Lepisosteus oculatus: one gene and its partners. The protein of the gene in region 3 binds, or shares a complex with, the protein of the main gene of each other region. Links are inferred from orthologs where the notes say so. Each region holds a gene or a part of one and is shown on either strand. Other genes may lie near its edges. The genes, in order: fgfr4, kl, fgf23 and fgfr3.

Evidence for each region.
Region 1: the proteins of fgf23 (region 3) and fgfr4 are in contact, whole or in part, in a cryo-EM structure (PDB 7YSW), measured with the Homo sapiens proteins. The link is inferred for Lepisosteus oculatus from reciprocal best matches to the Homo sapiens genes FGF23 and FGFR4. Residues at the interface, in NP_065689.1 of Homo sapiens: Leu32, Gly33, Ser35, Trp36, Gly37, Tyr43, Ala45, Thr46, Ala47, Arg48, Asn49, Ser50, Ile75, Arg76, Ser77, Glu78, Asp79, Ala80, Gly81, Val83, Val84, Tyr93, His117, Gln118, Thr119, Asn122, Gly123, Tyr124, Asp125, Leu158; in NP_001341913.1 of Homo sapiens: Glu156, Lys157, Lys158, Leu159, His160, Ala161, Val162, Pro163, Asn166, Asp240, Leu242, Glu243, Arg244, Ser245, Pro246, Lys272, Val273, Tyr274, Ser275, Asp276, Ala277, Gln278, Pro279, His280, Ala308, Asp309, Ile310, Ser312, Gly336, Asn337.
Region 2: the proteins of fgf23 (region 3) and kl are in contact, whole or in part, in a cryo-EM structure (PDB 7YSH), measured with the Homo sapiens proteins. The link is inferred for Lepisosteus oculatus from reciprocal best matches to the Homo sapiens genes FGF23 and KL. Residues at the interface, in NP_065689.1 of Homo sapiens: Leu39, Met74, Ala80, Val88, Arg91, Leu166, Ile167, Phe169, Asn170, Ile173, Arg175, His177, Asp184, Ser185, Glu186, Arg187, Asp188, Pro189, Leu190, Asn191, Val192, Leu193, Lys194, Pro195, Arg196, Ala197, Arg198, Met199, Thr200, Pro201; in NP_004786.2 of Homo sapiens: Phe377, Lys385, Leu389, Glu390, Pro392, Trp417, Phe418, Ser420, Lys429, Tyr432, Tyr433, Lys436, Phe437, Arg468, Ser471, Ile472, Arg556, Arg693, Asn694, Met695, Thr696, Tyr697, Ile735, Val752, Phe755, Asp756, Asn782, Asn783, Leu785, Ile812.
Region 4: the proteins of fgf23 (region 3) and fgfr3 are in contact, whole or in part, in a cryo-EM structure (PDB 7YSU), measured with the Homo sapiens proteins. The link is inferred for Lepisosteus oculatus from reciprocal best matches to the Homo sapiens genes FGF23 and FGFR3. Residues at the interface, in NP_065689.1 of Homo sapiens: Ser29, Leu32, Gly33, Ser34, Trp36, Tyr43, Ala45, Ala47, Arg48, Asn49, Ser50, His52, Ile75, Arg76, Ser77, Glu78, Asp79, Ala80, Gly81, Val83, Val84, His117, Gln118, Thr119, Asn122, Gly123, Tyr124, Asp125, Leu158, Ser159; in NP_000133.1 of Homo sapiens: Glu157, Arg158, Asp160, Lys161, Leu163, Leu164, Ala165, Val166, Pro167, Arg223, Asp244, Leu246, Glu247, Arg248, Ser249, Pro250, Val277, Tyr278, Ser279, Asp280, Ala281, Gln282, Pro283, His284, Ala312, Gly313, Ala314, Thr316, Thr317, Asp318.

What each region holds. Positions count from the first base shown.
Region 1 is NC_090706.1:39,850,614-39,858,017, reverse strand, and holds the start of fgfr4 (fibroblast growth factor receptor 4), read right to left. Parts: upstream 3,005-7,404; 5' UTR 2,180-3,004; intron 1-2,179. UniProt on the Homo sapiens protein: Tyrosine-protein kinase that acts as a cell-surface receptor for fibroblast growth factors and plays a role in the regulation of cell proliferation, differentiation and migration, and in regulation of lipid metabolism, bile acid biosynthesis, glucose uptake, vitamin D metabolism and phosphate homeostasis.
Region 2 is NC_090700.1:14,866,836-14,874,784, reverse strand, and holds the start of kl (klotho), read right to left. Parts: upstream 3,009-7,949; 5' UTR 2,843-3,008; coding exon 2,120-2,842; intron 1,815-2,119; exon of another isoform or gene 1,712-1,814; intron 1,404-1,711; exon of another isoform or gene 1,192-1,403; intron 12-1,191; coding exon 1-11. UniProt on the Homo sapiens protein: May have weak glycosidase activity towards glucuronylated steroids. However, it lacks essential active site Glu residues at positions 239 and 872, suggesting it may be inactive as a glycosidase in vivo.
Region 3 is NC_090702.1:6,867,338-6,874,181, forward strand, and holds the start of fgf23 (fibroblast growth factor 23), read right to left. Parts: upstream 3,009-6,844; 5' UTR 2,927-3,008; coding exon 2,689-2,926; intron 2,414-2,688; coding exon 2,310-2,413; intron 1,843-2,309; coding exon 1,348-1,842; 3' UTR 1-1,347. UniProt on the Homo sapiens protein: Regulator of phosphate homeostasis. Inhibits renal tubular phosphate transport by reducing SLC34A1 levels. Up-regulates EGR1 expression in the presence of KL. Acts directly on the parathyroid to decrease PTH secretion. Regulator of vitamin-D metabolism.
Region 4 is NC_090696.1:5,985,725-5,993,647, reverse strand, and holds the start of fgfr3 (fibroblast growth factor receptor 3), read right to left. Parts: upstream 3,002-7,923; 5' UTR 2,399-3,001; intron 1-2,398.

The DNA of each region.
Region 1 (7,404 bases), on a different chromosome or scaffold from region 3:
AGGCAGCCAGAGACAGGACAGCTGACTGACGTTCTGCGACATTTAGTTTCACTTATGATCAGCCACTATGGAGAAAACAAGTCTTTTCTGGAGTATTTTCCTGTGTAAGAAATTCACTCCAAACATGCTCCAGGAAAGAGCTGCTCCTAATGGCCATTTCTCCAGAGAAACTGTAAGTTTCTAAACTAAGTTTCTCACCTAAAACACACCCCAGCACCAAACAGACTGCACACTGTTGATGTTTAATGAAAGAAAACACTGTGAGAGACAGTCCGTGCATTGTGGCGTACGGCCGATCATCTTTGGCAGCATATTCTCGTTACTGTGCACTTAGGACTTATATACTATATAAATAATGTAACCACACACCTCTAAAATCACGAATCACAGGGGGGAAAAAACACAGATTAACGCTCATTTATTCCGATATCTATGCTTTCTCTCGCATTTTGCTAACTGCAAGTCGTGTCGGGTGTTGCATGGGAAAAAAATGCCCTTCAACACCGCCGAAGAACACTTTCGCCTCAAGAGTGCTTTGTACAGTTCACAGCGGACAGACCCTTCGGGACAGCCGGGAGAAGGCCACGGCCAGCGCCTTTCCGATCTTATCAAGGGAACACAACCAGGCTCGGTTCACTTGTCGCAACTGCCATCTGTCTCACGTCTGTCCCGCCCCGCCCTCCCATCACAGCGCGCAGAAAGTGCAGTTGACTGTCGCTCCCTGGCACCAGCCGAGGGCTCGGAGGGGAGCCCGAGAGCCGTTGCCACGGCGACACGGGCTTGGAAAGATGGGGATGGGATTCTTTCTTTTTTTTTTAATCCAAGGAGTACCAAGTAAACAGCGTTAAAAGTGCGAGGGCAGACCCCGGCGATTAGCGCAGAAGCGTCCGGTGTGACTTGTTCCAGCTACTTGGCCATCGCGTGTTTCGATAAAATTATGCGACTTTTTTTGGGGAAAAAACAATGGCTTAGAATCAGAATTCGTGTCACTTTCGCATCATTTCATTCAATGCCTTTCAGGATGTCTCATCGTCTATGGCCCTGATATCGGGATATTGTATTTCAACACTTCAACCCATCGCGTTACGCTCACATTCGCACGTACGCTAACCGAGACCTAGCTCGCAGTAATAAAAAATACCGGAAACTCAACAAAGGTTTATTCTTTTTTTAAAAAAATAATTTTTAGGCGTGCCAAGGCAGCTGAAGTAAACCAATGGTAAAAAAAATGGTGAGTCCACACTTCACGTGTCTCGGAGCTACAAGAGAGAAAAACGCAAGCGACCGGAGCCCAGCTCTACAGTACGTGACTCGATGGTCAAGGTAACACACAGTTTTGTACTACTAGCCCAGGCTAAATTTAGCAGCCCCCCCCCTCGGTGACTCTGCATCCACCGTAAATCAAAGGCAGGGGTCCTTTTAGCTCTGTTCCTTTCCAACTTGTATCTTTGGTTAAATTTTAACTACTGCGCAAACACTGGATACCGAGTCCACTGCCTTTTTAAGTCACGCCGGCTGGCGAGTTTAGAACTGGCCTCATACCGACTACCTTGTTGGGTGTTCATTTCAATTTAACTCGTCCTATTAATTTATTTTTTTCAAATCAACTCAGGTATTCGTTTTCATTTTTACAGCGTATTGCTCTTGGACATAGAAAGGACGCGCGCAACGTTTGTTTCATACAGCTCGAGTGATTGATTCATCCAACTACGGGACACGCACCCGTCTAGGGAAAACGACTTTTTTTCCCACCTCACTTCTGTTTTTAGAAACATCTGACGAGACAGAGAGGCAGAGATGTCCAGAGAGGTCGGTAAGCACCGGAGTCTAGAGAGACTGCAGCTGCGGTGTCACCGGTCTGTGGAATTTGGTTGAAACTCCAAAATTAGCCGGAGCACTTGAGACTTCGCTCCAAACTGCCGAGGAAACCTATAATTAAACACCAGCCCTTCTGCAACACAACTAGAGCCCCCACGGGCTGCGTAACTGGTCGGGGAGACGCTTACTTGCGAGCGCACACACAGTCGTCATTCTCAAAAACGAGAATTAAAAACACAGCGAAGAGGCACCTCGCTCAAAGCCCTGTAATAAACATCCCTCATCACGAAATAAAGTCCTAATTTTGTTTCAGAGCTCATGTTTCACGGAAAGGTGGGAATGGTTTAAGATTTGTAATTACCTTGCCTCGGTATCTTGGGTTGTTGGCGTATCCGCGAACCGATGAGTCAATAATTCGATAAATCACAATTCCAAGACATCGGGGAGATGGATCCCCATTTAGGACTTGGGTCCCGAGTTCTGCGGCCTCACCCGAGCTTCGGGTACTCAAGTGTTCCTCCTCCGGGAGAAAAGAGCTGCACGGATTTATCCCCAAACACTACGGTTTAGCTTCTGAAATTGCGAGTCCCCGGAGGCACTGACACCCTGGTACTGAGTGCAAAGTCCGAAACAAGTCCAGCGTCCTGGCTGTGTTTTCTCCAGACCGAAATAATAAAAAAAACAACCGATTCCTTGTAGGTTGAAGCAAAAAAAAAAAAACACAACAGCTTACAAAACACGCAAATTCAGGAGTCAAAAGCCCCAGCAAAAAAACATAGCAAAATCCATTACAAACAACAAATCCCCGAACAACATTTCCTCCTGCCCTTCTCCGGGATTCTCGCTTGTCTTCCGCGGCTCCGCTGAAAGGTGTTGATCGTGTAGGCTTTCTGTTTTTCACCCCTGCTGCAGGACTTGGGACGTAAATAATTTAAAAAAACGACATCGACTGCAGCGACGCAGCAGATGCGGAGTCTGTGCACCGCTCTGCTCGGTATCTCTTCACTAATGGCTCGTCCGGGAGGAAGCCAGAAGGTCCAGGGTTCTCAATTAGCGACTCTCCGGTTACAGCGCAAAGCCGCTCCGAGCATTTTAGTACTGATAGTAGCTCCGGGCAGTGTAAGCACAAGACTCGCAACAATAGACTTAAAGGAGAATGAGAAAGAGGAGGGGGGAATGACTCTCTTACCCTCCCCCCGAAATAATTCCCTCACAGACCCCCCTCGCAGCATCCAAGCGCCAAATCCAAACCTAAGATGTGCTGTGTGCACAACGACTCTCATTCACTCGTCCGTTTTTAAAGCGCTTCTTCGGAATGTAGTTGAGAAATGTATTACCCTTTTTTTTTTCTTAATGAAAGCCAGAATACAATAGTTGCTGCTTCTGAGCGACGGTAACTTTGGAAATGAAGGCCGAACGGACCAACAGCCCGGGCCTTTTCTGCTTGCAATTTAGAAAAACAAATGTTGGCAATAATGCATTTATTTTCTTACTGAAACGGAGAGAAACAGCGTTGCGTCGGATATTCTATAAAATGACGGTAGAATCCGAGACCACAATGGTTAATATTCGTTCCCCCCAAAGATTTAAGTGTGTGTTTGTAGTCTTAAAATAGTTCTGTGCCTTTTTATCATACCTGTACAAGCAGTTCATGTGTTGTATGTACACTGTATACAATTCACTAAAGCATGCTTGACACTAATAGCACCCATCATAGGCAATTGTCCTACTCCTAAACTTCACTATTGTGGACATCCCTGCATTTTATGCAGTGTGTGTAGTTTTTATTTTAAAACGTTATATTGTCGGTCAATTTCTCCGTTATTGTGGAGAATGATTTTACCAAAAAAAAAATCCCCATTAGCAGATTTTTGCAGAACCCGGAGTAGGTCAAAGCGAAGTCCGTCAAACCGATCGGAAGCTTCTTTTATTGGTAACTTCAGACTTATTAAGCGATGAAGTGCTGAATCTGAAGGTTCGTGTATGCATCACGCCTACAGGCCGTTACCGGTATTCCACACACAGAGCTCGTCGTTTTCTGCATTTCGTCACTGTTTAACTTTTAAGTTGAATTTGTAAGTAACATACAGCAGTACAAAGTGCCGCACTGACGACATTATTGACCGTCGAAAATGTTATTCTACACGGATAATCTCTTTCGTGCTCATTTCCGAGCAATCCATTCTTTTAGAAAATCAATCTCTAGATGGGTGGTGTTTAATTTATGTCGTATCTTTATCGCTGTATCTGATGGATTTCAATTTTGTATTTCATTTGAAACAAAAACACTATAGGTTTATTTTTTAAATCTGAATCCTACACTATATTGCCATTCTTGTAGAAGTCACTCCTATTACAAAAACCCTAGAAAATAGATTAGGTTTCCAACCAGTGGGTCAGTACACAACATCAGTAACCTTGCAATTGTTCCAGGCTCTCTTAGGAAGTGCAGTATACTGCATGTTGTCTTGGGAATTAAACTGTTTCTAAGTCAGATTCAGGGAGAGGTCCTGTTGTATGTACTATACTGAAAGACTACTTTACGTACAGCAGGACTCATCCACTTTTTGCTTTCTCCAAAAATGCACTAGAAACTGTCCTATGTGATACACAGCACTTGTAGCAAGATGTGACTGACAGTGAAATGAAATACAAAATAAAAGTCAGAAATTCTCAGGGTCTCCAGGGTTAGCCTATGACTAAGCCTAAGACCTGTGCATTTTTACTCTTTATTTTTGACTGTCACCTCTCCCTCAGTCACTTTGTTTTTAGATTAACAGACCAATGAATACACAACCTTTACCTTGAGCAAATACACACGGCTGTTTGATCCTGTCAGACATTCACACACAAACTCACAACGACTCTCTTGCTGTCCTGCTTGACTGCCTGGTAAATCTAGTTCACGAGTAATGATAGGAAATCAAATCTTTTAAACATCTGAGTGAGTGAAGAAGTGATTTGATTTCTACCACAAAAGCCCATCCTGTCCTGAAAGTTTGCTCTGCCCGAAGTCGGTAATATGAAGAAGCCAGCAGCACACAGAAAAGCAGAGAAGCATACATTATGGGAAACCAACTGACTGGTATTGAAACAGCGCTGGCACATCCTTTGCGTTGACATGAATCACTCCAAAAACACTTTGATGTGGGGTTGGTAAGTGGAATCTGTTCGGAAAATGGTTATTGTTAATCGTTAGATTTTGTTATTGTTGGCTGATTTGAACGAGAAAGCCAAGCTGTCCTTGTTTTCATACTCATGTGTTATTTTCAGCGTTGTTCCCGGGTCTCGAGATTGGTTTCGCGTGCTGATTAGAACCTAGAAGGACCTAGTGAAACTGGAAGCAGACATAAAAATATGAGTTTCAGAGTTTCTCCTTGGCAAGTTTCTTCAAACGATCTTAGCTGGATATGAACGATTTTATCTAACAGCAGTATGCCAAAGACAATCCGTAATAAATCAACTCGGTAGATTTATTATAGTATTTTCATTCTTTTGCCATGACATTATCTTAGTTGTGCTGTGGTTGCGGTGGATGTCTTGAATTTATAGTAGGCCTTCGCTTTGCTGGCGAGGCCTTAGGAGCTGTAGGCTACTGTAGTAAACATTATTCATGGTCATTGTTGGCTCAGAACATCTCACCATTCCCCTGGTCCAGAGTCGTAGACTGCAGTGAAGACAGAACCCGAGCAATTCTCAGCAGAGCTAGAGTGACTTCATGCGAGAAACACAGCAAAAGCATAAAAGCACTGCCCAAACAGCTCTCAAAATCGCACCAATGAAGGAAAACGGCGAGGATTTCTTTAATTAGATCAGTGGAGGCAGGGTTATAATTGAACTGGTGTGAAGTGAGAATGAGGTCCTACCTTTCCCGAGCCTCGGGGAGGGGGGGGCGATCTAGCTTGAGACTGGGTTTGTTTCCGAAGCCGAGGTGGTGTAGGGCTAGAAGCCCACACTGCCTCTCAGAGGTAACAGTGATACAAGCCTCTAACCAGCAGCACCCACCAGAGTTTCCGCAAGCTAGATGTGGTGAGCAGGTCTGAGGCCTTTGCCAATAATTTTCTGCATGAGAGGGGAATATCTTTCACTCATCAGAAACAATGGTGTCATGGTGTGGCTGACTGCCAGTAACCACATTCTCTCTCCAGCTTGCGCTGTACCTACTTGCTTTGAACCACGCTCTGAAAAGGATATGCAGATTCCTCTCTGTACCGTATCAGCCTCTAAAATACAATCGCATCGTGCCCGGGACGCATTTTTATCAGATTCTGAACGTGCCCTTGTTGAGAATCTGACACGGTTACCCAAACCAAGATTAAAAAGCAAACTGGTATCATTGCAATAACATATCCGCTTCTACTTTTGATGCACAAGTTAAAAGTTGAGGATTTTGGGAAAGGCAGAGAATGACTTTCGCAACTGCTTGATTGATATGTCCTATGTTTTTACAGCAGAGAAAGTGTTGAAAAGATAACCTTATTTCTTACATTTCAAAGAGTAGAATGCAATGTACTGCCAAACCCATATGAAATACCACAGATGAAGCCAAACATCAGTTATAAACACCACCCTTAAATTTCCTGAGACTTCCGTTACATTGCAAAACTGTAGTCGAATACAATGGATATTTTATTTGGAATACTTTTTATAAGCTTGGAGATCTGTCTTAAGACTTGAAAGTGGTGTAAGGCAACATTTTTCCGTGGAAGGAATATGATCACCACATATAACTGAGCAGTGCGCATGAAAGCGTTACTACAGTCGCCGCAACATTGAGAGCAAATGCGCTCCGCGTTCTTTTCACGACAAGTTGGATATCCGTTTGGTAGTGTGATTTTACACGGCAAGCTGCAGAGTAATTGGTTTTGTTCTTGTAGAGGGTTTTACAGTGATAGGAGCTTCCTTTTTAATCTTGGTTTGAGTAATTGTGTCAGATTCTAAAGCAGATTTACTACATCAGAATGATGAAAGTGCTTGGATTTTCCTTAAGACAGAGATGTGTTTCACATGAGGGGTGTTGGGCAAACCACTATGTAGAAGGAGCCGTACTGGGAAGGCTGTGCTGGCTCGTGTGGGCTGGGGGGGGGTGCATGGTGCCGATTGCCTGAAATTGATTAGTGCTGCTCTGAATTGGAGCAGTAAATCCCTCTGGATAATCCAGGTATTCCTCCCTGAGCCTCCTTTCTGCAGGCTAAATCCTTCCCAGCTGAGCACACACCGGCAAACTCATTTCACTCACGCCCACATCCGCACAGCATCCCCGTTACTAGAGAGTCTTCTGAAGAGACCTGAAAAAGCGAATGTTGGAACATCCATCCTCCTCCTCATCATCGTCCTCATCTTCGCCTTGTCCTCCTCCCGGCGGGAGTGCAGCTCCGAGTCTGACCAGAGTTCGGCCAGGACTCTCGGGTCCCTTGGCGGAGGACATTTAGGTTTTACCCGCCCCCCGCCAAACACACACACACAATCCCCAAAAACAAAATCCCCTTGGCTCGGTTCACGCAGTTGGTATTAAATCACACAATCAGAGCCACAACAATCCCCTCCTCCCTGCTCTTCGGATTCTACACACTCCACAATCCCAAA
Region 2 (7,949 bases), on a different chromosome or scaffold from region 3:
GCAGCATGTGCCTGCCATGAAAGAGAAAACACCACAAGAATTACACTAATTCCTATCATGCCCTAAAACAGTACGAAATAACTTGATCATGTACTGTACTTACTGGCTATAATGTCTTTAACATACTAAAAAAATCTATTGTATACATCGATCCATTTTCTAACCACTTTATCCAATTCAGGGTCAGGGGGCAGTCAGAGCCTACCCTGGAAACAAACAGGTGCAAGACAAGGTACACCCTGGATGGGATGCCAGTCCATTGTAGGGCACACACTCGAATAAACACACTGGCAATAGGGCCAAAATTAACCCACCCCTATGTGTTTGGACTGGGAGGAAATGTGAGCACTAGGGGAAACCCCATACAAACACAGGTAGAGCACAGCACAGGTGCTATAGCTGATAGCACCCCAGATCCAGAATCATTCCAAGGCCCCAGTGCTACAGTAGAAGGAGGCAATGCAAACCATTGCGTCACCGTGCTGTCCCAAATGTATACACAATATAAAAACCTTACTTGTACATTATATTTTAGGCATACACAAAAGTAATAATGAAGGCCTACTGTTTCTATAATATGAGTCCAAGCAAGGTGAAGATACTGTCTACGCTTATTACAGATGTGAAATATAGCCTTATTGAGAGCATGCATATTATGCCTAAATCAGTTTTAGACTTTTGCCTTGTGATCATAATCTCAAATGATCAAGCGCTGCCTTTGGGACAAAGTGCAGTTTGATGGGTCTCAGTCTATCTTGCCTGCTAACCTGATCAAATTCTGAGGCACGCAGCAGGATGTGTTGCTACCTTAATACGAGGTCGAATATGACTGACTGGATAGAGAGAATATTTAATGTGATTTCAAGCAGACATCTTGCACCAGGAGAGAGAATGGAAAAGGCTCGTTTCCCTCACTGATCACTCACATCATCAACAGCTAAGGTTCCTGGCATATTCGAGTGAGTCATGTCTTCAGGCAGAGAAGACTCCGGCATGCAGAACGATCAGTGTTTAGATGAAGCATCTATATGTAAACTAAAAATGAAATGAATGATACATAATAATGTCGAGAAGTAGTGTAATGTTTTATAAATCGCATAAAACGGCCATCATTCAGCTTCTAATAATAAATGTCGTTATTACTGAGGGGTCACATTCACATCTAATTTACAGATGTAGTTTAAACAAAAGCGGCCAACATTCGGAAGGCTCTTGTGTTAGGAGGATGGCATTTTTCCAATAATGAAACTACCAGTAACTCAGATGGCGCACATTTTTTGATTATCGGTTAATTTCCAAAAACAAATAATCTACATTTAAGCAACAACAGCATGGTTCTACAATTTTCGTACTTACCTAATTACAATAACGTTTCGCTAATTGATAACACCTCTTCATATGCAGTAAGTATGTCTATAACAGGTGACCTTTCTTTGCATCTTATGTGATTTGAGGGTTTGAGGGTTTTTTTAACATGTGACTCAGCAAGCAAAAGGTTTGCAGATTTCTTAATGTCATGACTTTCTAACAAATTTTGTTAAGTTTAAATTTGTTTCAATTTTTAAATTCGACTTCCTCTAGAATCGATTTACAGTACGCTCCCGTTGGTACTGATACTTTTACTAATTGTTTACCTTATCTGGATCGTGTTTTACATTCAGTAAGAAACCTCTTTCAATGTGATCCTAGTATATTTCCTCATCTGTTTCAGCTTGTCCGGCTGCTTTTTCAAGATTCACGCTTGGGAGCTATTTGAAAACCATCTCTTGTGTAGCCGCAGTCTTTGAAAGCAAAGTAGGTGTACAGTGCCCGAGGTTTGTAATTTACAATATGTATGGTTACTACTAAAAGAAACTAAATAATGCCATACAGTAAAGGCATCTCACACATTAATAATACATTAATATATAATGTGAAATAATTAAATAATGTAATACAATTTCTCGTTGCGTTCTGTAAGCCACTACAGTTCTCTTTAAGCATTTTATAAAACTGGATCTACAAAACGCTTGTATTTTCAATTCAGTGTTTAAGCAGGAATTTATTACTACGCCACAGTCATCATAACCCCTAAGTACTTTCAAAAAAGAAAATCAGAAATACTGAATGTGTGCATTACCTTCAGGAGGTTATGACCCACTCTGAAAGGCAGCCCTGGATCACCTTTGATGCCAGGAGCAACCAAACCGGTGCCATATCCGTGCCAAGCCACAACGAAAGGATTGTCTATAGTGATCCAATATTTAACATCGTCCCCGAATTCTCTGAAGCAAAAATCGGCGAAATCTTTAAAAAAGTCCACTACAACCGGATTGATCCATCCTTGGTAAGTACGTTGTAAACTCTCCGGAAGGTCCCAGTGGTACAGTGTAACAATTGGCTGAACTCCTATTTCCTTCAGTCTTTGAATAAGGTTTCTGTAGTAACTCACCCCGGCTTCATTAAAGCTGCTGCGAGTCCCATTGGGGAATATACGTGGCCAGGAAAACGAAAATCTGTAGTGCGAAACCCCCAGTTTTTGGAGGGCACGAATGTCTCCGTGGATGTTGTGGTAACTGTCACTGCCCACGTCTCCTGTAGCTATCCTGTTGCCACCCCGGGTGAAAGTGTCCCACACGGACAGACCTTTGCCGTCTTTTTCAAAAGCCCCCTCGCTCTGATAAGCTGCGCTTCCAACGGACCACATGAAACCCTCTGGAAAGGTGCTATAAAGAAAGGCTTCATCCTCTGGAAAGGGGAGTTTGTTAAACCTTTCCCAGGTGTTTTGTCCGGCGCCTGGACCTCCAGCGACTCTCAGGACTTCGAAAGAAAGGACAAGACAGTGCAAAAAACTTAACTTCATACTTAATGGCCTTCGGTATTTTGTCAAGAGATAGACAGTTATTTCTTTATATTCAAAGAAGAGGTGATCATCTAGGTAAGACCAGGCGTGTGGCTTGCTTTCTTACGCACTCGTTCAAGCCGCAGGACGAACTGTCATGTACTTGAATGGCAGTTTACCCTAGCAGAGCCATTCGTTTGTAGACCTGGGTAATCTATCAATCATTACCCAAGAGTGCCCTAGCAGCGGAGCCGTTTTTCAGTGGTACCCATTCGTGTTCCAAAATAAGAAAATTATCTTTGAAATTAAAATTATTCTTTGTTTTTTTTTTCCTGCGGAAGTAAAAACAATAAAAGCTTAAACCTTCCAATGATAACTGTACAACTGTACACTATAGCTAGGAAGTTATTTTTTATACATCTTTATAAAACATAATAAAACCTAAATCGATTCGTTTGTGATGCCTACCCGTGATGTTTATACAAAGACGAACCCTTCCCTGGGTACCATTGTAACAAGGTGATTATCCTTGCAAATGTTAACAGTTATTAACAGTTTTATTGATTCAAGGAAATAAATTAATATTGTGAACTTTCCCTAATGGATTATTTTGCAACATTCACTTTTTTAAAAAAAGAAATTTGTTCCGACGTTCTCGTAGTGCATCACTAATGCGTCAAAAGGAAGATCTATATTAATCTCACATTTTTGTTGCAACTTTTATAAGACATAGGCCATTTGTCAAGTGTTGTGTCATAGACTGTGGTTTGTGTCAAGACAGCAAACAGCAAGATACAAAAACGAAATCAACCATAAGCAATATTTGTGCACAGACCTTGGAAATAAACAGGAATCTTTCAAACGTAAGGCGAAATATCCCGACATAGTACAGATGTTATTAATCTGTTTTTATATATAGAAAAATAATAAGTGAAGTAAAATTAATTCTGAGATGGGTTCAGGGGTTTCAATTATTTTAAATTAAAATCATATGACACGTTTCAGAGCTGGATGATGTGTTAAGATGTAAACAGTATACCCGACTACCACTTTTAGAAAGAACACTGATATCCTGGTTGAGATATCATGAGATCAATGAGATATCAAATTGTACTTTTGCCATATAGGTTTTAAGGACGTTAGACTGAAACAGAAGGAATGCTTTGGCACAGATACCGTACATTTCTGAACAGCTGTATTTTCGTCTTTTTGTACAAATTATACATATGGCAGCTCTTTAACGTATCCATTTAACACACAGTAACATTATTCGGTGTGTTTTATAACTGCTGTTGTTCCGTTGAGCAAGCATCTCGGTCCCACTGCTCCAGTAAATACCCTTCTGTATAAGTGTCTCCATGTCGTCCCTGTTAATGAAAACGTGTTCTTAATTGACCTACCTTGTTTAAAAAGGAATACGTATATTTTAATAAAACTTCATACTTTTTTTCTGTATCCATATTTAATATAAAGAAATACACAAAGGATGTGTTCCTTGAAATGTGCCATGGGAAATAAAGTTTGAAACTGAAAAATAACAGCAGAACCTTACCATGAAGAGAAGCTATTTAATTGCTAGGGCATTCACCCACACATTTCTTTTTTCGTCAGTTCTTTCAGTCATCCTAACTAGCAACACAACTAATAACGGCAATCTAAAGTTGAAAATGTACATACAGTAAATATATTTTTAAAGGAAATTTATTACCTGACCTTGACATCTGTTGCGATAAACTTTGAGGATTATTATCAGGCAGACCGAAACTAGGCTGTTACGTCTCCTAGGATACCAATCATAAATCTACAGATAAGCTATCTGCAAACAGGAAGAAGCTTTCAAATGAACCTTTTAAATTTAAGGCAAACAAGCCTAATGCATATCAGAGGCTTAGTCCAAAAGGAGAGAAGATCGTATTAATTGCATTAATCGATTCGCTAACAACCTTACATCATTTTGGGCAATGAAAATGCATTAAAAAAAACATCGTTTCATAATTCGCTAATTATCAGGGTCCTTGTGCTTACTCCTATGAAGAAGAACCCTGATTCTGAAACGGTATTTTTTCTTTAATATGATATCTGGTTCAGTTTTTTTTTTTGTTAAAGCATCACGGCAAAGCAAATTGCAGCGCTTAAAATATTAAAAAGCTTTTTGAACATTTTATAACATTTGGTACGCTGCCTTTCAGTCTGTTTCACCTAGCCATCTGTCATACATGGGCAGGTTTTCTGAACATCATAGAAGCAACTGCACAAAGCTAAATAAATCGTTTCTCCGCCACGCACCAGAGAGCTAATTATTCTGTAAATGTGGTGTTCTGTTAAGCTTTACAGGCATAAACAAAGTTATTTATACTTTGTTTATGCCTGTAAAGCTTTTGAATGTTAAAATGAGGATATGTGCTTTTGTGTAAGTGAGCTTGTTATAAAGTGATATACAGGGTAGAGGTCTAGTTTCAGAGCCTGTACTGTCAACATCGTCAACTGTGAGTTAGATGGCTCTGGCTTTTATGTGAGAACAGAGCACAGGGAAGTCTTGTCAACAATAAGGAGCAAGTAACCTGACTCACAAGAACTGGTTGTCTTTCTTGTCTTGATGAAGCGAGAAAAGGGACGAGAGAGAATGATCTCCTTGTACAGTACCAGAAAAACAGAGAAGCCTATGAGCCGACATGTTCTAAACTAAAAAAATATGTATAATTTACTCAGACCTGAGACAAACATGAGGGATGAACTGAATAGCAAGGTTAGAGCTGCTAAAAGTTTTTTAAAAATTGTAATGAATGTACCATTCAGTAAGTGGCTGCAACTAAAAAAGACACTGTTATGTTATGGTAGGGGGTTAATAATTTTTGTAAGCCCCTATGCAAAGCAAGGCAAGGTATTGTGTGAGAAGACATGACTGCTGCATCACTTAAGTTACCTGAAGGAGTGACTGAGTTATGGCAAACATTTAACATGGAAAGCAGTTGCCTCATATCCTACTAGATAAAAAAACAGTATGTACATACTGGTTAGTATCAATGGTGGTCCTAGAATGAAATAATGTCCTATTGTATTTACTAATGAAAGTAGGTTTGAGATTGAGAAGCAGAAAAATAGGAAAAGAGGAAACCCGCACATCTACACTTGTCTTACTGCTGTTTATCGCGCGCTTCTCTTCCTCTCTTACTGTTGATGGAAAAATGAGATTCCAGTCTTATCTCAAGGGCAGATAACTCTTCCTCCAGAAAAGAGTATGGGATTCAAGCTCAGAGCTGTGCAGCCTCAGTCACAGTCCACTGATGCTCGAGATGTGGATCAAGCCGATTCATTATGTGAGGAAGAATTACATCAGTTTAAGACTTGTACATATTAAAGTCATTTCAGAAACTCTCGGGAATGTTTGATGACGTAGTGCACAACCACAGAAATGTATTATTTCCTAGAGTACAATAACCTGTCTTATGACCAGGTATCCAGTGCAGTGAAGTAGGGTTCCCATACACATACAACAAAGTGAATTCTTTACAAAAAAGGCTCTCAGGAGCAACCACCTTAAATCAGATTTTCTGTAGCTCACAGAAAAATCTGCTTATACGGAAATTTTAATTGTTGAATTAAATGGAAGGAGCTAGTGACCTCACTCATAAAACAGTGGAAACAGAAAACAAAATATCTCAGATGAAACTGTCTTAGGCCTTGTCAAGGTGATTATTTTTTCTCATTCTGTGACACTTAAGAGCTGTTCTGTGACCCCTTCAGAAAGTGTGCTTCTCTGTGCTGATCACAAAAGAAAAAGTGCTCAGCAATAAATTAAATGGAACAAAAAAAAAATCGACCACAGGTACAAGGTACTCTAATGAAAAGGAAAGGTTAATTATATTTGTTTCCAGAACAAATGTAACATTTGGAGGAGGAAACATTAAGAATGTCTAGTCCACATAAATTTTAACCCTGATATCAAAACCCATTGCTTCACTTCTTGAATATTTTCAACTCATTTATTAAAAAAAAACAGCACCCATTGTATTAGAATATGCTTAATCAAAGGAAATACTATTATGCTGGTAATATTGATACTGATATTATTTTTGTTTGTTTTGGATATTAAATGTGTCCCTTTAATTAATTTCAATGTAATACCCAGTGTTTAATTTTATCTCCAAATCATGTGCTCCGTACACATTAATCAATGTAATTATTCTCTTTATCTGGCAATATTTGGAATATTATAACAAAGTAGTTTAAAAACCCTTTTTACAGATTAATGGAAGATATATGATGGACCAGGTCATCAGAAAAGGAAATTACAACATGAGAAATGAAGCAAGATAACACAAGAACATCCTTCAAAATAAAGGGATTAAGACTTGAAATGTTGATGTTTTACTAATGGATTTGCTCTAGTTTGTATTGGTAATCTGTAAAGAAGGTGTAATAAAGACGATACAACTGTTGTTGGCTTTTCCTCATGACGAAAACAGTAATGAAGTAATTCAGTTGGTAATGAAAATGTATGTACTAAGACTAAGTGGCTAAGGGATAGTGTGTCTTAATCTAGGTGCAATTTATAAGATTTAATGAACCTTTTCAGATAAATAAACCCAGCAGGCAAGGACACCTAAACAAAGTCAAAGCCATAAATCAATTAGATAAACCCCCACACAAACTCACAAAAAGAGGATGAATCATAAGACCTTACTGTCATTTTCACCATCAAATCTGTGGGAGTTTTATAACAAAATTAACCCTTTAAGATCTGAATGAATATGTTGTGTGAAAGATTGCTTGACGTTTCCATATGAAGTCAAATCGAATTCACACGTGCATGGATACAGGGAACACAAATGATACCGTTTTTAATTTACCGTTTCAGCTGACTTGTTTATTTTTTCAGGTCAGATTTTACAAACATGTGGATAACGGTCACTTACTTAGTGCTCTCTCAGACTAATGTCCCTTCTAATATTCAAGGGATTCATAAAACTGAGCTTTGTTGAAATCCAAAAAGCAAACCTAGGCAAATCTTTGGTACTGTTAGGAAATTAACTGTCATTATTGTAACACTGTAATACCATTGGCCTTTTCCTTTTCCCTGGTTGAAAAAAAGCTGTTTTTTTATTAAGTTGTTTTACTTTATCTACAT
Region 3 (6,844 bases):
TATAAATATAATAAATAAGAAAAAGTGAATACATATAAATAAATACATTTTCATTATTTGGTTTTGATTTAATTTGCTGGTGGTGTCCAGCACCGATAAATATATTTGTTTCCTAGTTAAGTCTGAATAAATCATACATAGTTCATTGGATTTACCAAGTACAAGATGTCAGTATCTAAAACTGACATATGGAGGTAACAGTTAAGTTCAGAGGCCCATTATAATTAAAAGCAGAGAACAATATTTTTAATAATGCTATCAACAGAAATGAGTACTGTAAAAGTTCTCATATGAAACGTTTTCATTCTAATATAGCACTAAGGTAAAGGTGTTTAACTGTTTTGCTGGTTCTAACTATTGAAGTACTCTATTACTGTAAAAAATTAGTTAATAAACGTAAATCACGATAAATGATTTCCAACAACAAAAATCAGTGTCATACTGAGTTTTTGCAAAATTCTTAAAACACTTCTTAACACTATTCTGAAAATGATTGTGTTTAGTTTTAAGTTATATTCCATCTACTGTTTAAAATTTAACCAAGGCAAAGTGAATAGCAGAAGAAAGCAAGTGTGTGCTTAATTGAAGCTTGTCCTTATTGGATAGTTGTGGGCTACAGTTTTGTTGTCAACGCACAATGAAAATGGTGATTTCCTGTTGAAATTAATCTCTCTCCCTTTCTCTTTTTTGCGAAAACATCCCTTTTGAAGATATCTCAGTTTCAGAAGGCATTTCTGTATTGATAAAAGTAATGCATTGTAAAATTGTATCTACCTGGGATAACATATGCGGTGCTGTGCATTGTGTCTTATGGCACGGCAGAGAAGCCGATTCCTGTCCCAGACATCTCTCTGTTCTATCTGGCCTTGATCCAGTCTTGGATATCAGGCACGTTGAGGCTTCTGTCGCTAGCATAAACTCTCTAAGAATCATTCTCAGCTAGGTGCTAAATAAAAGTTCAACAGCACAGAGGCATGGCACATCAAGTTATCCTGCCGAATTGCATGGTTTTAGCCTGTCCAGGTAAATCAGTAAGTCTGAAAGACAGAGACAATATGTCACAGACACCTCTGGATAACATTTTACTGACATACATACAGTAGTGGGTTTTCAGACCAGCTGTAGAAGAACCCTACAAGAATTTGACACTATTCCTTTTTCTAACTTAGCCCCTTGAAACACTTTTGTTCACCCGCAAAAGCAGAGCTGAGTTGAATGGGATGGGACTGGACTATTTTAAGGCCTCCAAGTTATCTGACAAAAGTTGAACCGAGGGGATGACTTCAGTGAGGATGGAGGGTCAAAAGTAGGAATTAAGAGCACGTGTGGTTTGGACTGTGCCCTCTCTTATGTTCTCATGTTCTGGAAGTAGCGTGGGCTGAAGTTTTCTCTGGGTTCCAGAAGCCTCAGGGGATCGTTTGGGTCCACCTCTTCATTGTACGTCGGTCCAAGGCTCTCTCGGGACACAACGTGAGCTTCTCCGTTAAAACCATGCTCTGGGTTGGTGTTGATGGCCCGCGAGTCGGAGGTTTCCCCGTAATAGATATTGCGGGGCTTGAATAAAGCTAAGGGATCTGAAGGGTCGACGTGGTCTGAGTGGCTGATATACTCCAAAGGACCGACATGGCCATTTCTCTTGTCCCTGTGCAACAGGTGTTCCAGTGGGATGGTGTTCTTTTCAGACAGAAACAGGGAATAGGCGGGGAGATTCTGTCCAGGGACAAAAATGTGCTTGACTCCTTCGAGGTTGAGCACCAGATTGTTCTTGCAGGAATAGTACACATCTTGGTTATTTTCCAAAAGCTTGTGGTGAAATAGGCAGTCCTCTTTGTTGCAGATGGTCTAAAATGGACAAAACGATAAAGGGCTGTTAATATTGCCATGAAGACTGCCGGCATTCGGCGAAGGGAACAGAAGACCTTAGGACCTTTGGTAAATACAGTTATTATATGACACACATCTCTTCAGTCTGTTTTTTTTAAATTAGCTTGGAAATTGCCTCTAAAAACGGACGATTATTGTCGATTTTGTACTTAAAAAAGGAACGGCATTCAGCGTTACTGTCTACTTTTCTCCATCTTTTGCTCACGAGCTCACAAATCCGTTTCTACATCGCTTGTCTAGACCCCTGTAAGTATTTAAGAGGGAATGGTGGTTGATCTGCCTCATCAATAAAGTTGAGTACTCTTTGACGTGTTTGATGTTTAATGCACAGGCTATTAAGCCTGTTCAAAATGAAAATTTTGTTGTTACAGGTAGGTGAATAATAATAATAAATTATATTAAAAGCATGAGACTTTTACACTTACCGAGGTGAAAGTCTTTCCTTCTGCATCCATACACAGAAAGCGTTTACTTTTCACTCCGAAGATCGCCAAACGGTCTCTTGTTTCCGCCTTGAGTAGCAACACACCTGTTAAAAAAAATAAAGATTAAATCATAGGCTTGCTTTTTCGATCCACGGCCACAACATGACATTAAAAGTACCTGATCTCAAGCGAAAAGGTAATGCTATTCGAAAAAGATGTTTGTGTCCAGGTTTTAAATAAACCTTGTACGAACGTGAAAAGAAAATCATTAAAAAAACAGTTAACTGTGGTTCCCGTGATGTTTTCTACGCACTGTGTTGGTTTGCATCAAACTTTGAAATAAACTGGATTAATAAACTGGAAAGAAAATTATACATACTGAAGGCGTTCTGGGTGGCTGTTTTTCCCACTTGCCCATCCTCATCGATCTCCAGGTAAAAGCTCCTGGTTTCTGAAGACGTCTGCAGGTGCACGTATCTCTTCGGGTTGCCCCAGTTGGAGCTGAGGAGCGGGGATGGATTAGGGAATGAATGCACAATCTTCAAACCCTGCAACACAGCCAGGCACAGCGCAAGGAAACACGAGTGCATGTTCGGGCGAGAGGCTGCGCTCCACATCAGATTCTGTACGGTGTTAGTCTGGACCCAAGGGTTTACTTTGAAGCCGCAAAGGCCTGGTTTGCTTTATCCCGAGCCCGAGGTCGATCTGGTGCTTCCACGTTTTGGTGACTGCTATTTAAAGCCGGGCCGGCGCCCCCCCTTGGTTGCCCGCATCCTTCTCAACCCCCTGCACAGATGTGGAGGTCCCAGTGGGCCAACGGAGAGGAGGAAAGGGGAGGAAGGTTCCGACTGGATTTCATTGCCCAATAGCCCAGCGGTTTCATTGAGCAATCTCTGTTTTACATCACGCTACCGGCGTCTCCCACGCAGACCTTCCTGGCCCTCCGGACTTGCATTGAAAGTTTGTCACTTCTCTCTCCTGAGGAGCCAGGCCCTGTTCAGCGGGCAGAAGCGTGAAGATGGGATCATACACCGATAGCTGATGGTAGAAAGAAAGTGATTCACGTTGTTGTTTGTTTTTTTAAGAATAAAAACGAACAAAATGTTATAGTGAAATACATACAGTATGTCTTGATGTGCCATTCGGCGAGACTGTTGCTGCATACTGTATGGTGATTTTTATAATTATAATGAAATCAACTGAAACCATTATTATATTAAGATTTTAAATTAAACCTTTCTTACGTACATCCAAATTTCCTTCCGTTCCAATCTTAAGTAAAGTCTTTTTTTAATATTAAAGTTATTAAAGATTTTCAGAATAGTCTTTTTAATTATGGCTAATAGTGTAACTACTGTACAGCGTTTTAGTATTCATTATTTTTCTCAGGTACTGTTTCTGAAGCAGAATAAACAATCATAGAGACATGTTGACAATTTTGCTATTTCGAAAGGAATAAAATAGGACTCTTTCGAAAGCCAGTTTATGTTTGCCTCCGCTAGAATTTTGATACTACTTTTAAAAAGCATTAGAAAGACGATTAGTTAATTCGGTCTTCATATCGCGGTTTTGATATTAAATGTTAGGCTTTATTTTTGTTTTTAATAACGGATTTTCCTAGGTAAAATACGCCAGCGAAATTAAACCAACAATATGTCTATTAATGATTAAGGGCTTTGAGATATATTGTAACAGGCGCTATATACTGCAAATTCAATCAAGGGTAATTTAATTAATCCATCTTCCAAAAGAGTCCAAATTTGTAATTCAAACTTTGTGCTACTTCTCTGGTTTTTCATAACTAGCTATGCAGTACCTTACAAAACATGGACCAGAACCCCGAGTAAGCAATGATGGATTAGCACATTAGTTAATAAGAACCCCATATACTGTATGCACGATACACACCTTATACACAACCAAAGCTTTGCCTTGCTATTGATCTGATAATGCAAGCAGTTGTGTTCTGCCAGAATTTAGCTTAATCCCTAGATAGATGTTGTAATAGTGATGTTGTGGGTTTATAAGAAACCTTTATATTTATGAACTGTCCATTTTGTATCCATGGGTTTAATACCTTTCACCTAGCCGCCACAGAGCGCAGATATCTTGATGCTCTTAGCTTGAGCATGCGGTTATCGGCAAACGAAATAGATTCCGTCTTCTGCTCGGTACATCTTACAGTCTAAGTATAGTCATTCTCTACGTATAGTCATGGCACAGTATAGTCATTCTCTGAGGACACTGTGTACGCCGTTCCGTGTGGTCTTTCGCTATACAGTAAGTCGCCTATGCAAAAAAGACAATATTTCTATGCTACATTGCTCTAAGCTTTGCTATCTGCGCGGGGTTACAGTAGCATGTCCCCTTCGTAATTGCTTGAGTTTCATTCAGGTCCTCGGATTGGTCATGCTGGTGTGTGGTGTGTGCCCAGCGATGGACTGGCGTCCCGTCCACTGTGTAACCGGCCTTGAGCACAATGCTTGCCAGTGTCGCATCCCGTGACCGTGAATTGGATAATCGCTAATTGAAAGCGAGGAGAGATCCTGTACCCAGTTCATATCTTCCACGCGAAGAAGACAAGAGTCAAACTATCACCGCCAATTGTATTAGAGCCTGCATTTGCAACGAGGTTGTCAGTTGGTATGTTTGGAGTTTCTAACAGATTTGAAGACTTAATTCTGTAATTGCATCATTTAAACTAGTATTTTGGGTGGGGGGCTTTAATTCGCTAATTTATTTAATATTTCAAGAGACAGTACTCCAAAGCAGGTGGGAAAAAGAGTGACAGGGCAAAATAAAAATGTGTACTGCTTTATAAACGTATTCTTATACTCATTCTCATCGTAGCTCTCTTTTTCAAATCTGTTATAGTCAGAACTGCATATGGTCGTTGTGTGTTTACGAGCTCCTCAGAAAAAAACCCCCAGCAAATTCAATTTCCTCATTGCAGGCTTCTGCCCGAAGAGGGAGCCATGCCCTTGGTTAGTGACAGCACTGGGCGAACGTCCTCAGAACAGGGGAACGTGCCCTAGACACCTGTAAAAGGAACACATTTAACTACGAGTTTTGCCAGCGTGGATCGATGTAGTGTATTAATGGTGTGAAAAATAGACTTTTTAAACGTGAAACTGTTCTAGAAAAAATATAAACTGGAAATGCGGCATTTAAATATTTTGCGTTTCCTATCGGGGATGCCAGAGTCGTTTCGGCATGTGCTTGTGTATGGGAGGGCAGGTTTTTCGCATATGAAGCTAATCTATTTTCCTATTTTTTAATTTTTTCACAATATTTTATTGAACATTTGCCTTTATTATAGACACATATCACCAAGCAAATGGTAATCCGATTGCAAAATCTTTTACTATTCGTAGATGAACGTCATTCTCAAGTCTTTTATCACTTATTATGATACAGCTGTGTCTGCGGAACTGTCACCGTACGGTAGCTGATTGAGTGTGTGCCGCACTGGTCATTTAGATCTACAATGCTGTATGCAGAAGTTAAACGGAATTTAGACAACAAAAAAGAGAAGACCATAGCATCACCTGACTAAATCCTATTAAAATGAACGGTCTTTTTGTCAGACAAAATTTGGTGTGCCCTTATTTCTTCGAGTAAACAAGATCGCCTCCAGTTTTGCGATTTGTAAATGCATCTTAATTTGACTTCGTTTCTTGTTTTTCTTGACCGATCTATAAGTTTTATATCTTTAAATTCCCGGCAGGTTTTGGATCTTCTCATATAGAGGAAAAAATACCCGGCTGCTGTGTTCAAGTAATTTGGCTTTAATTGAAAATTATCTAATTAAGATACATCTAGATACGAAGAGGGCTCCACAGCTCTTTATTAAAGCAGAGGACCTAATAACGTTTATGAAAGCCAAACATAAATCGGTTAACCTTATTGAACGGTTTACGCTCGCACTTTTTGCTTGATGCACAACCATTCTTGCATTCTGCCTATATTTACAGCATAATGCTTACAGCGAAGTTTGTGCGCTTATTTGTCACAGGGACATCTTTAGAGCTCTCCTGCAGTACAGGGTACAGAGAGTTAGCAGTGCGGGGAAAACTAGATGAGCTCACTCTGCAAATAACAAAAGCTGAGCTTTTACTGTATATCTGATGCAGAGTCAAAACTTAAAATGGGTTTTGTCATTATGTTCTTTTTCAACCGCACACGTTTACCAGATTTGTCCAAAACCTGGGGGGCATTTTTCTGGGATACCTGACTACAAGAATTGAATTAACTTACTGTATTGCTCTTTACCGTACATAACACACATTGTTAATACTGGTAGTAACAATCCAGTATTTTAGATACAGGATAGTCCTAAAGCATAGTGTCGCTTCACATTACTGTATATTTAGCTTTGTAACTTTCTCCTTGTTGTGTGGTACATAAATGTATTTGAGAACCTTAGCTTTCTACCTCATCATCCTGTTTATAATTTAAATAATGATGATTTATAGACCAAATACGCTACCGAAGTCCGACTACAGAGCCAGACAGGAACAAGAAATTTGGGAAGA
Region 4 (7,923 bases), on a different chromosome or scaffold from region 3:
AATCATGTGGGCAGAGCAAATCTGTAAGAGCATACTAATGCTTCAACCCATCTTCATCTGTAATTGGGGTGGGAGAACAGCAGGCAGCTTCAGAAGACGACCTACATCAGTTTCAGTGTTAGGTTCTGTTTATCTTACGTTTTCTCTTTGCCAAATACTTGCCCAGCGCCTCACCACCCTTAGTACTTAGGCTATTGCCTGTATCTGGTTTCCCGAAGTCTACATGATAAATTACAAGCCAAGTTCGTCTGCTGTGATGTTAAAGGCAATGGATTCTTAGCGCGTTTTTGATGAAGACGTCTTCTCAGTCCGCATTTTTTCAATCTGACTTGTGCCGATCTGATATATATATATAGTACATATATTATCGCTAACGCGTTTCCCTTGACTACTACCCCCAACGTCCTTCAATGGTAGAGTAAACTTGCCTATGAAGAAACCAATTGCTCGCCTATGACTTTAGAGGTACTGCCACTCCACGCATTAGAATAACCTTGTCAGTCCCAAAGCCAAATACGCCACACTCAAAAGACCAAAACGCGGAGCATGAATTCGTTACACGTGTAGAAGGACTTGTGGTCTAATGTATCCTCAAAATAGGCTTAATTCTGGGATGTTGTGCAAGAAGTGTCGTTTAGTGAAGTAAATACCTGAGGTTTAATTACAAACTAACTTGAATTTTAATGACTAATCTGTCATGACACCTTAGTTTACTTGCAAAACGAGGTGAGTAGTCTGTTAAAGCTGTGTGAGAAAAATGTATTTTATTAGTGTTCTGTTTTACTACGTTTTATAACGACGTTTCAAATACGGGTATATTAAATTCATATGCTTATATGTGCGCACAGGGAAAAATACAATACAGGCTATAGAGAGAGAAATATATCATTGCGCCTTGAAACAAAAAGTATCACACACAGGCTTTCATGCGCTTCAGACTTCTAAGACTGAACGAAACCAACGCTCTAGTTGCGCTATTGTTTCGTGACACTCCTTACAAATCTTCTCTCGGGCCCTGCGGCGTCCACCTAGAATTTCTTGCCGCCTGCTTCTCTCATTTATTTCTTCTTTTCTACCGTGAGAACGCTGGTTTGCTGTTTTAATGGCTGACGTTAGGAGATACGCATTCTTAAAATACCTGGCTTCATAACTTCATCTCACCAACATCCTTTATGCGGTGAAAATATATGTTCTGAAATCCGCTCAGAAAAAAAAAAACCCCGTCGGGTCTCTACTCCTAGTAGACCTGTGTAATGCGTGTTGAAGAGGACAAGCTGTGCGCCCACTTGTAAGTACTGACCCTTCCCCTGCCCGAGTTTACTGTAGCGCGGCCAAGACCTGCCGTTTTGCATAAAGCTTGGCTTTTTATGCTACACGGAATAAAAACAAGACCGAGCAGAAAGGGCGCGCACACTAGGGTCCCAGCGAGAGCACTCGAAATGAACATCGCCAGACCTGCTCACCTTCCACGCGTGTTGGTGAGAATATAGAAACATGTCTCGCAATTGCTACTGGGCTCGTGTTGTGTTGAATGTAGTGCGTATCGTGGTGTGTCTTTCACCTGCCTGAAAAGCACATTTTCCATAGGGACCAATACAATGAAGTAATACAAGTTTGCTAAAGTGTTACATTTGAATGCAAAGGAAGAGATAGGTCGTTTTCAGTCGGTCTTTGGGAGCTGCGACAGTTTTCCATGTCATCCTGCAAAGGCAGACTGCGTTTAAACACTGCGTTCATGAACCACACAAACCCAAAGACAGTAAAATCAATAAAAACCCGAGGCTACAACCTGTGTTCTTCCTGTGATTTCAAGAGCAATGAACCAGTAGCTACCGAGTTGTGGTGGCAGTGTCAATAGGACAGACCTCAGTTTACTCTGTGCCTCGTTCGCGTCTTTAACTGACAGAACACATAAAAATACCGTCTGGGCTTTTATTGGAATGGGAGAACATTTTCAAAGGTCCGCAATTATACCATGAAAAGACTTCAGTATGAATTTAACTCATACTAGGTTTCTACTGTCCTGAAGGTAGTAAACGCAAAATCTCGAGTAATGACCCTTTCGACAGATGCCAAAGTTTACCGAGATCTGTGCCAAACATCGGCTATAGAAACCGGCTACCGTGTACAGCAAAACACAATCCTTTTAAGTGACTAACAACTGAAAGTGGCCTCCCGTTTCGTTCATTTTACTGTACAATACCAAACCGTGCGACTGGACGAGAAACAGCAGCTCAAATTGAGGAATAGTAGAAACACGGAAGAATCGTGAGAAAATCGAGAAATTACAGTGGAAAATATGCAATTATTTTAATTGTCTCAACCTAAACGACACGGCATTCCTAGTCTGTATGGGTAAGATAAAACGATTCTTAATAATAATGAAAGTACTACTAACCCGCAGGAGACTGACAGAAGTCTTCGCTGGATGAGTTTCCAATGGTCACAATTCTTGTCAAACTGTACTGACTCTGACCAAGAAATCGGTGTCAGTCACAAACGTGCTCTTATACAGTAATAGTAATAGTAGCTGTAAAAATCCTTTCGCACAAACCCCCACTGGAGAATCACAAGCAGCGGGAAAAAAAAACACACACACAATATCCAGAAAGAGTTTCTTCTTCTGGCGGTGGCAAAGAAGGTTCCAAATTCAACAATCCCTTAAAACCACGTAGTTCGTTCGCCGCTGTCTCTATGCCCACGTTTTCTCTTTCTCCTGTAAACGAATGGCTAGTGTCTGGGGCGCCGCTGAGCCGTGCGCCGACTGTGAGACGGGAGATAGCTTCCACCGGCAGAGCGCTCCGGACAGGAGGCTGTTCATTGCCCGCCTGCTTTGCTCCGCTTGAAAAAGTGTGAGCGCTGTTACTGGCGCGGACACGAGTGTGTGTGAAAGCTTGGCTCGCAGACCTGCACTGGCAGCCCGGGGCTGAAGGCACCAGAAAAAAAAAAAATTAGCAAGGATCAGATTTCAGCCTCTAGACCCTCTGCGAGTGCTGTGCTTGTCCCAGCCCCCTTGAGAGTTAAAGGCAGCAGGCGCGATAAAATTCGGGGAGAAACGGGGCGGAGGCTACGGCAGCGGTTCCTCCCACTGTCCCCGTTTCCAACATTCAGTCACCCCTTAAATAAATGTTTAGGCTTTGACAATTTAACTCGCTCCCGTGTGCCTCGTTCCTTAACTCTCTTTAGAACTTCAGAGCTTAAATAGTTTACAGACCATTGTCTCTTGTTATGAGTTATACTGGCAATATTTAGGGTTGTTTATTTTGAAATAAATTATATATCTAGTGACATTTCTCCACAAGCAATTCACCGTGAGCTTTTTCTACCCCCGACATTTAAAACACTGTACGTGCGAATTCGTTAAGCGTTCCTTTTTCTGTGGTCTATCAGTAATATGTTAAAAAAAAGAAACGGCTGAAGGTGTCTAAATTTATCCAGCGATCAATATCCCAGGTCAATAGGCTTACTTTGAAGCTGACAACTGCCTCATAGAAAACACTCGGTTATAACTCAATTAAATGAATTAATATTCATATCAGGAGTCGTCCTTAAATTATACTAAGCATTCTGTTACATTTGCTAACAGTTAATTCATGGTTAATGTTTAAAAAAACACAGATGAAGTATTCTTTACTAACCCTCCAACTAAAAGTTTTTATACTAGCTACTTCTTGACACAAAAGAAAAACGCGTACACTAAGCTAAAACATTAATTGTATCAAATTTGTGGATGAACTTTTCTTTTGTTGTTGCACGATGAACTAAAACAGAAACTCCATTACTTCATTCAACCTCAAAAGCCCGGGCACTCAGAAAACAAGTCAAATAAAACGACGTTGTTGAACATACAACGGTTTGTGTAATTTATTTAAAATAACATGAAATACAATTGGATTTTTATGATCACGTAATATGATTCCAATCATAGACTTCTGTTGACCAAACATTTTTTTCTGTTTTGCCTCTAATTGATCGCGGAAAACCTATTAAGTATACCTTTTTAGGTTGTATCATTTAGTTCAATGAAGACGGATTTAAGTCGTGTAGCATTTTAGCGCTCCGTAACACAGTTTTAAATCTCAGATGTCCTAAAAACTGTCCCCTGTATTTGATATGCGTCGTGAATATGAATAATTGAAACTGAAATACCCGTTACACGTCTTCAGGATTTATAAAAATTGTGGTTGTGGCTCTTCTGTCATTTCATCCAATTTAAACACAAATTATTGTCTTTTTTTCACTCCTTTCTATTTAGCATGCCAACCAATACGTCAACTTTTCAGGCTTTTAAGCTTAAATTCTTTTTTAATAGGCGTAATGAAATGTGTAATAATCGGGAATGTGAATTAATCCACAGTGGGGCAGAGTCTGAACACAAAGAAATAAGCCAGTGATTTTCCCTATTAGCATATTTTGTAAACGAGAGCCCTCCCTTCCAGAGACCCGGGGCAGATGGTCTCTACTCGGCAAACACGCAGCACCCTGGCCGATCGTGTTTGCTCCCGCAACTCGGAGAATACACATTCACACAACCGGGCCCCTTTCAAACAAATCAGCCCCTATTCTCCTCTTGGTAAATAACACTGCACGACCACCGCTAACACACAACGTCACCAGGCAAAGAAAACTACATCATTGTGTTCTTCTATTTTACTGCCTTTATATTCTGGGAATCACAGCTCCGTAGCAACATAACAACAGCCGAATAGTTTTTTTTTTTTCCGGATGAAAGACTTCATCCAGAAATGAATTTCATTAAATTAACCGACATTAGACTAAAACAGCGCGAACGCCGTGTGCTGGCTGGTTGAGATGTACAGTCGACAACAATAATTCAGCCTATTTCACATCTCCAGCGCACTTCCAATAATCTCTTATCCAGTTCAGGGTCACGGTGGCCCCGAGCCTATTCCAGGAAGCACTGAACTCATGAGGTCGCAGGGAACACACAGCCACACCGGGGCCAGTTGTTCCTGATCAAACTAACCTAGCAGCATGTCTTTGGACTGTGGCAGGGAACCACAGCACCAAAAATAAACCAACACAAACCTGTGGAGAACATGCAAACTCCACACAGAAAGTAACCCAGGAATAACACCCAGCCCTTGGGGACTGCAAGGCTGCAAAGCTGACCACTGCGTCACTGTGGCACCCGTTTCCGCTGCTTAATGGTTGCAGTATTTCTTTTGCAATGACCTGTTCCTCTCTCCCTTTGTGTGTCTGTGTATGACCAAATCTTAATCTAAAATCCTACTTTATTAACTGCTGATTCTGAAGAAAGGCCAGGATATGATTGACTTTTTTGAATACGTGAGTCAGTTCCCCTCCTAGTCTTCTCTGTTCAAGATTAGGTCTTTTAGCCTGGCAGTGTAGGGTGTTCTAGGGCTGCAATATCCTTTTTAAACCCAAATTTTCCACAGTCTTCTAAATTAGGCCTCATCAGTGCACTGTGCAAATTGAACATAACATCCCTTGATTTCACTTCAGTATTTTAAACTACATATTGTTTCTCTCTGTGTTTAATTTACTTCCCATAAACTCCTATGTCTTCTTCACAAGGAGCTGTGTAAGATCACTGTTTCATTTTGTGTTTGTCGTTCTTATTTTTGCTACTTACTGTACAGTATGTTCTTGTCTACATTAAATGTCATATGTCCTGAATTGTATTGAAAAGCTCTTTGGATCTAAAGAGGAACCGCAACGCTGTTTTTATATTTTGGGGTTAGAATGAATCAGCTTTGATGAGTACATTTCAAACCACAATGAAAGTAATGTGTAAAACATCCAATTTACATCACAAAATCGACTACATTTCCAGGTATGTGCAGCACCATATACTGAGATTTCGAATGATTTAACAAAACGTCCAGTAACATGAAACGGCCCTATAAGATTGTGAAGAAGCAGGCTTGTGAACACATCTCTTTTGATCCAACAGAAATGTTGCTCTCGGCTTTGTGATGGTTTTGCCAACAAATACAACTTACTTGTTAGCTCTGCATGCAGTTGGACATTTGTGCGGTGAAACATCTTCTGCACAACCTGTACTTATTCACCCGTACATCGCAATACATCAGTCATTACAGTGACTAGTGAGCAGGAAGGGTCGTTTTAAAGCACAATTTCCGCAGACCCTTGCTCTCGCCCGTGGCAAGACCAAGGGTTTGCAAAAACATAGCAGAGTACAGGACTTTCACAAAGTTCACAATTTTGTGCTTAATTTGGGATGTGTACATTTTTGCTACACCGTAAATTCATTCATTTTGATACCAAGATTAATCACCGGTCTGAGAAATTGGGACTGCTGTCCCTCTTTAATTTGCAGCTTCCACAGCGAGTGACATTCTTTGATCATTTGGTATCATCTGTCAAGCTGGAGTAGCATTGGAATGATACCCGAGTCTAGATCATTGGTTTAAATCAGGAAGTGCAGTGGTCCCTAAACAGATCCCAGTGGTACTCCATTTATGATATCACCCCAATTTGAACATTATTGTTATTTCCCCCAGGTGACAATGAAGCTTGAATTGCATGGGATTATCATTGCCATAACCTTACACGTTATAGAGACAACATGTGTTAGTTTATAATTATTTTGTTTGGCTTTGTCAACCTATTTTGGATGGGCACTCCAGAAGCAATTTTCCATTCAACGCACAGTTCAGTGGACTTGAAGGTTTACTTGAAGTGAATGAACTTGAAGGCTGAGTGTTCGAATCCCAGGTAAGACACTGCTCTTGTACCCTTGAGTAAGGCACATCACCTAAAGTGTTTCAGTAAAATACCCAGCTGTATAAATAGGTGCTTTAGAAACAGCATTGGCCAAATGAGAGACTACTGGAAGAGATTTGTTGATGGTTGATGAATAACATCAGTACAATTGATGAAATATCATCAGACTGCAGAAGAACAACACCTCCAGACATATTCTTATTTGGCTTGGGTTGTAGAAACCAATTAGAATAAACGATCAAGATGTGGACATTTCTGCTCTTGGACAACAGGTCCTCAGAAAGCAGCATGTTTCAGTGGATTCTGAATAAATCAAAACCCAGAAAGAATAAGAAGCTTGAGGTGCACATAAGTTGATCAGCATTAAAATAGGTTGACTGTAAGTAGATTAAATAAATTGACGCTTTAAGGGAAAATATAGGCTCAGGAATTTCAAATTGCTCGTTCAAACATGTTTTCTGTTCAATTTTATATCTCTACCTCCATCAGAATTATTTAATGTTGCTGTTAACATTTACAGTATGTTATATAGAAGATTAGAGAAGTAACAAGCTCTACACACTGCATTGTAGATGGTGTATTTGTTAAACCTATGTTAAGTAATAAGTAATAAAAAAGTCATTTCAGTATAGTAAAATAGCCGTTTTGTGTTGATGTGTCGCTATCTTCTTAGAGATATTAATGATTAAGAAATTATTAATGATAAAAAAATATTACAGAAAGCATGCTTAAGTTCGTCAAACAATAAAGCACTCTAAAAACGTTTCTGTACTACCCAGTGAGTAATTTCTTCTTGTGCCAATACCTTTAAGATTTGTCCATACAGGCTGTACTCTGTACAGGCAATGTATGACCCTCAGCGGCTGCGTGTGGACTTTATTGAGATGTATTGCTCTCTGCTGCTCTAATCTACGGTGTAACAGTTTGGACACTGCTTCACCGCTTACCACTGCCCCAGCGAGCGAGCCGAGCTGTCTGATCCGAGCGCTCGCTTCGCCATTGACGTCATACAGTAGATTCACGACACTAACCCTAGCTCGACGAGTGCTCGGGGGAGGGAGGTAAGGGTCGGTGACTTTTGCGAAGTTTTAATGCAAACTGCAAGCTGTCAGCCGCGCGGTGTACAGTGAGTGCACGCGGGGAGCTAGCGAGAGATGCGAATAATACCGCACCGACATCGCATTTCCTTTC